2 linked regions of the Coturnix japonica genome follow. The protein of the gene in region 2 purifies or fractionates together with the protein of the main gene of each other region. This does not show direct contact. Links are inferred from orthologs where the notes say so. Each region holds a gene or a part of one and is shown on either strand. Other genes may lie near its edges.

Evidence for each region.
Region 1: the proteins of OGDH (region 2) and DLST fractionate together in Homo sapiens (co-fractionation; 3 studies listed by BioGRID). This does not show direct contact. The link is inferred for Coturnix japonica from reciprocal best matches to the Homo sapiens genes OGDH and DLST.

What each region holds. Positions count from the first base shown.
Region 1 is NC_029520.1:34,565,016-34,567,497, reverse strand, and holds the end of DLST (dihydrolipoyllysine-residue succinyltransferase component of 2-oxoglutarate dehydrogenase complex, mitochondrial), read right to left. Parts: intron 2,321-2,482; coding exon 2,153-2,320; intron 1,939-2,152; coding exon 1,804-1,938; 3' UTR 729-1,803; downstream 1-728. UniProt on the Homo sapiens protein: Dihydrolipoamide succinyltransferase (E2) component of the 2-oxoglutarate dehydrogenase complex. The 2-oxoglutarate dehydrogenase complex catalyzes the overall conversion of 2-oxoglutarate to succinyl-CoA and CO(2).
Region 2 is NC_029537.1:122,758-126,572, forward strand, and holds part of OGDH (2-oxoglutarate dehydrogenase, mitochondrial), read right to left. Parts: intron 3,517-3,815; coding exon 3,401-3,516; intron 3,070-3,400; coding exon 2,915-3,069; intron 2,582-2,914; coding exon 2,435-2,581; intron 2,315-2,434; coding exon 2,224-2,314; intron 2,113-2,223; coding exon 1,933-2,112; intron 1,291-1,932; coding exon 1,162-1,290; intron 947-1,161; coding exon 767-946; intron 537-766; coding exon 384-536; intron 1-383. UniProt on the Homo sapiens protein: 2-oxoglutarate dehydrogenase (E1o) component of the 2-oxoglutarate dehydrogenase complex (OGDHC). Participates in the first step, rate limiting for the overall conversion of 2-oxoglutarate to succinyl-CoA and CO(2) catalyzed by the whole OGDHC.

The sequences.
Region 1 (2,482 bases), on a different chromosome or scaffold from region 2:
TATTCTGAAGGTGCATAAGGTTTGGGTTTTTCCCCCCTTCCCTCCTCTTCTAACCTTCTATCTCAGTCAGACACAAAGGAAAGCTAATGCCACACATTCCTCCTTAGCTGCCAGGAAGCACTGCAGCTGTGCGTGCAATAGTTTTCTCTCAGAAGAGGCTGCCTTTACTCATAGCTGGTAAAGACAAGCCATTCTCTGAAGCTTGTGTGAGAGACGGGAAAACCCTACTGCAATCCAGGAATTGGTTTCTTAATGTTCCCACAGGGACAGCTCCTTGCAGAAATGCTCTCAGTGCCCCTAATGAGACAGCTTTCGGTTTACACTTCTTGCCTCCTTTCTCTCTCTGCAGCCCTTAATATCCTTTTTCTCACTGTCACAACCCCTGTTGTATCAGGGAAAAACCAACCTGGCTCCAGAACCACACTGTGAGAGCTTGTCCCAGTTCTCGCTCTTGGCCATCACACCACTTAGAAAAGACTGGGATTTTTTTTCTGTTGATAGGCAAAGAAATCTGGAAAAAAGATACTTTCCAGCCTCAGAACCTCATATTTTCCAGTAAGAGACAGTTCTGTGCCAGAGGATTTGAGAACAGGAGAGTTCAGAGACAGAGAAACTTCCATTTACTATCACCGCCTCCAGTCCCCTTTCTCTCACTCTCATGCTGTGCTACAGAGGCTGCTGCTGCCCAAGGCCTCACTCAGGACCCACCCCCCCAAACACAGCCCACCTTGCAGTTGTTGACCAGTTTTATTTCATTTAAAATCCGCTGTGTTAAATATTTTAGTTACACGTTCTGTGTAGAGGGTAAGAGTAATAGACTCTGCAGGCACTAGCAACCCCCTCACTCCCCAGTACATGTGTGCGCTATCAGATTAAGGACTGCCCCCCTCCCCCCAAAACCAGCAGCCTTGGGCTGGCATATACATTACACTTGCAGACCAGCCCCCCCAACCCCCCCCAGCTCTCTGCTGGTAGCAGGCCAAGCCCTCACACGCAGACCCATCCATCAGTACACTGTGATTCAAGGACAGCTGCTGGGGGCTGTTTCTTAGCCTAGTGTTGGGCATGTCATGGTGAAAGGGTGGCCTCCCATCCCCAGGAACAGTGCTACCTCCACAGAGATCATGGGCTCTGCCCACCTGGCCACGAACATTCGTGGCTCAGTGGCCAGGCTAGAGAGAGACAGATGATCTCCGACAGAAAGCAGGGGAGATGCAACCACTGCATTCCGGTCTGTGGAGGGAGTGTAATTAGGGCACTGCCAAGGGCACAACACCTACCTCAGCTCTGCTCTGATCAAAATCTCTGCTGCAATTGGCCTGAGGGAACCCAGGCTGCCCTTGCAAGACAGGTGAAAGTGATATATTTTCAAGCAAAACGGGGACAGAACAGTAGCCTTTCCTCTCCCTCCCCTCCCAGAACCTCAGTGCTAGGAAATAAAGCTGAACCCACCTTGGAGTGGCAGGGAAGGGTACCCTAGCACAGCAGCAGCAAGCATTTTCCAGTGGTATTGGACAAGCTAGAGGTGAGAGTTTGGTGCCGTGAAGGAGAGGATGCCACACAGATGGCTCCAGAAAGGCAGTGCCGTTCAGTGGTGGCAATCCTAGTGAGAGACTGAACCATCCATTAAACAGAACAGGAAAGGAGGTAGGAGCTATCCTCCCAGTTCCCTCTGGGACATCTCTGATCTCAGGGGTGGGAAGGAGACTGGAATGGCCCCAGCCAGTTCCTGAATGCCCTGCGTTGCGCCCCTGCTGGTGCTGCGTCTATGCCCTGGGAGGGTCGTGTGAGGGTGTGGCTGCTCTACAGGTCAAGCAGCAGCACGCGGGGATCCTCCACCGCTGCCTTGATCTTGCGTAGGAAAGTCACTGCCTCTCTGCCGTCGATCAGCCGGTGATCGTAGGTCAGTGCCACGTACATCATGGGCCGGACCTCGATCTGAAGGGAGAGAACAAGACGGGTACTGGTGTGTTCAGCCCTACTGCCTGCAGGACACCCTCCTCTCAATCTGGGGAAGACTTGGTTTTCCAATCATAGTCAAGCCTTTCAGAAGGCGACATCACGTCCCCTAGAAACAGCATATGAGGCACGATCCTTATCCCACAGAGCCCTCCTCTCTACTTATTGAAACCTCCTGTGCAGCTCCACCTACCTTGCCTCCCACAGCCACAGGCCTGTCAAAGATGGCATGCATGCCTAAGATAGCAGACTGTGGAGGGTTGATGATAGGTGTCCCAAAGAGTGACCCAAAAACCCCTCCGTTGCTGATTGTGAAAGTGCCACCATCCATGTCTTCAATAGCCAGTTCATTCTTCCGTGCCTAGAAGAAAGGTATAGTCTCAGAAAGCCACTCAGAGCACAAATGGCAAAGGACAAGGGTTTGGATGTTCACCCTCCCCAGGAATAAATGTTGATGGTCAGAGCTTCACTTATTTATTTGTTCAACTGAAAACCAGCAGCAATTACTTGAAAACACGTTCTG
Region 2 (3,815 bases):
GTGCTGCAAGGCAGAGCTCTGCAGCAGCTCAGCACTGCAGGGATCAAGGGAGTGAGATGGGAACGTGATGTTCCTGCTCCCAGCTGGCACAGCCCATGGCCGCAGCTCCCAGCGCAGTCACAGCGCGGTGCAGCACAGCTCTGCCACCTTTAGGAGAGCGGCGATGGGCCCACGAGATGCCACCCCAGCTCTGAACAAACCGAGTGGCCTCACAAGGCTGTGGGGCAGCCAGGGCAGGTCTGTGTGCTCAGTGCCCTGCATCCCATATGCTGTGCCCTGAAACCTTTCTGTCGTGGAGCCCTGGAGGGCACTGGGGGGTTCCAGCTCCTCTGCCCCCACCCCACGCCCCATAGCGCTGCCCAGCTGCACCCTGGTGTCAGTACCTCGTACTCCGGCTGATTCACCACCCCCTGTGAAATCAGGAGCTCGGCGTATTTCTGCAGCACCGGCTTCTGCTTCCGGATCTGTTTGTACATCAGGGGCTGCGTGAACATCGGCTCGTCCATCTCGTTGTGTCCATTGCGCCTGTAACACACCTACAGGGAGGGAGGGAGACTCAGAGCAGCCCTGCAGCCTTTGTGCCTCGCACAGCCGGGGTCTGTGTGCTATGGAAGGTCCAGGAGGGAGCAGCAACAAGGGCAGGTGTACAGACAGAGGCTGCACTTTCCCTCCAGTGTCATCACACTCTCAGGACCTGGCACAAACATCCTCTGATACCGTGTCCCAAAGGCTGGAGGAGCCGCAAAGCCCGGTGTCACCTCCTTACCAAATCCACCACCACGTCCTTATGGAAGGTGCTTCTCCACTCTGCTGCCACGTTGCACACATACACCACGGCCTCAGGGTCGTCCGCGTTGACGTGGAAGATGGGAGCGTTGACCACGCGGGCGACGTCGGTGGGGTACGGGGAGGAGCGCGCCATGCGTGGGTCAGTGGTGAAACCGATCTGGAGGGGAGGACGGGATGTGGAACAACCTGCTGCCTGCAGATCCCGGCTGGCACTGAAGCCAGGCGCCGGGCCAGGCACGCTCCATCAGCTTGCATGGCACCTGGGGAATGCAGGAGGCTTCCAGGCCTTGGGCCTGCACAGAGCCGGGCTTCCCCAGCTCCATCCCAGCACTGGAGCCGCAGCATCCCCCCTGGTTTTGGGCAGCCCCTCACCTGGTTGTTGACCACGACGTGCACTGTGCCGTGAGTGGTGTAGGAGGGCAGGTCGCTCAGGTGGAACGTCTCGTACACAATTCCCTGCCCTGCAAACGCTGCATCTCCGTGCAGGAGGATGGACATCACCTGTGGGGCCAAGGACATCACTCAGTGGTGCTGCAGCCGCATCTCAGCCCCATGGGAGAGTGCAATGATTTCCCACAGCGCTTGAGTGGCAGCTGCTGTGATCCCTGTGGGATGCTCGGGGTCATTGTCCCACCCCAACACCCGTCTGCTCCAAAGCTCCAGGGACTGGGTTGGGATCAGTGCACCTTTCCTGCATGTTTTCACCCCAAAAGAAGGAGCGCGTTGTGGCAGAGCTCGTTGTACCATCAGCTGCTCCACTGCTTTAGTTGGGGGCTGCCTGAGGACGCCTGCCAGGCGAGGACAGAGCTGCTCTACTTATTGCCAGCCCTCGCGGTGTGGGAGGAAGGGAAGCACTTTTGATCCCACCCTTCCACTTCTGAAGTGCCACAGGCGATGAATGAGGCTGTGACATTGGGCACAACCCCCCCAGCACGTGGGTGCAGCCATCCCGGTGCCCCCAGCACTCCCACCCATACACAGTGAGACCCTGCAGCGTGGAGCTGCGTCAGCCCTGATGCTGGGGATGGGAGCCCTGCTCAGGGTCAAGCAATGGCAGGAGCTACCAGCAGAGACCAGGGGGAGACGCGGGAGCAGCCGTGGTGACGGCAGTTTGTGTGGCAGCCCCTCGACGTCACTGCTCACCTTCTTCCCCTCCGTGTCCCCGCAGTAGAACTGCTCTGCTTTGGTCTTGCCTTGCACCACCGGGTCGGCCGCCTCCAGGTGGGACGGGTTGGCCACCAGGGACAGGGTGATGTTCCTGTCGGTGACGCGGTTGATCCGCCGGTGGTACATCCCCAGGTGGTATTTGACGTCACCGGAGCCCTGGGGGAGGGAGGGGGGTCACGGCACTGCAGTGCAGCGCTGCAGGCAGTGCTGAGATGCAGCTCACAGCAGCACGGCCTGCGGGTTGCTGAGGGATGGAGGAGGGCTCACCTCGTCAGCAGCCTCCAGCTTGGAGTCGAACTGGCAGAAGATCTGCTCCAGCTCCTTCCTGATCACGTTGGCGAGGACATTCAGGCGCCCTCTGTGAAAGCAGTGCTGGCAGTGAGCAGCAGGCAGCACAGCCCAGTGCCTCCCCCAGCACAGAGACAGGGGGCAGCCCTACAGCCCAGAGCTATGGAGGGGATGGGGTCCCAACACATACCTGTGGGGCATCCCCATGATCACATAATCCACTCCCTTCTCACTCGACTTATCAATGATGGTCTTTAGGGCTGGGATCAGCACTTCACAGCCCTCCAGACCGAAACGCTTCTCCGAAGACCATTTCCTATGGAGGAACTCCTCAAACCTGGAAGGGGGAGCAGAGATGGGAGCTCACAGGGGGCACATCCCCTGCTCACCCCACTGCCCCTCTGTCTGCCCAGCTCCCCACCCCATGTGCACACTGACTCCTTGCTGTGCTGCTGTTGAACAGTGCCTTATTTTTAGCTGTTTTCTCCAGCATCATCTTTGCAGGCTCAGTGCCAGCGCTATGGCAGCACATGAGTGAGCCCTGTGTCGTAACCGCGTGGATGACGCCAAGGAGAGGTGATGTGGGTGGTGACCGTCCAGCAGGGGCAGCCATCCAGCACAAAATAAATGGGGTTAAATGGGGGCCACGGCCACGCTGCTCATCACGTACCTGGTGGAGCGAACCAGGCGCGCCAGCAGCGTCCTTTTTTCCTCATTGGTAAACTTCATAACCCCTGGTGTCTCAAACTTCTGCCGGATCCACTGACACTGCTCCAGGTCGTTGATGAACATGAACTCCACGCCGATGTGCTGACAATACGCCATCTGCACAGAGCACGGCACAGACCATCAGGCACCGCTGGGAGCCGCAAACACCCCCAGACCCCTCCAAGCTCTGTGTGATGCCAGGGCATCCTCTGGTCCCCTCATTCAGCACCCAGCAGGGCGAGCAGAGCTGCACCTCCCAGGAGCAGACCCCATGTTAAGGCAGGGAAGGAGGACCCCACTGCTGATCTCAGACACTGATCACCCTGCTGAGGTCAGCCAGGAATAGGGAGTGAGGCAGGAAGGAAACAAGGACCTGCAGCAAAGCCACAGCGCTGCTCAAACAGCCCTTGTGCTGCAGGAGCTGCTCCTGCACACACACAGCCCTCACCTCCAGGCGGCGGATGATCTCCCGGAGCGGAAGAGCCGACTCATTTCCTCCGATGAAGGTGGTTGTGGGCAGATGGAAAACCTTGTCCAGGTCGGACTCGTCCAGCCCATAAAATCCTGCAGGGTTGCGGTGGGGGGGAAGAGCGGAAGCAGAGAGAGAAGGAAGGGATGGAGCCGGGGGGGAACGGCCGCAGGTGGGGAAGGGAGGAGAGGGGAGGGGAGGGGGATAAAAGCAGCACAAAACCCAAAATGAGCACGGAGGAGGTTTGAGAGCATCAACCAAGCAGCAATTAACATCGAGCACGAGACAACCAGGTCACAACGAAAGGCCATGGAGCAAAAGGTGTGTGCAAATCAGAGGGCACCCGGTGCTGCTACAGGGAACGCTCCAGCTCGGGGTGAAGCATCGCCGACCG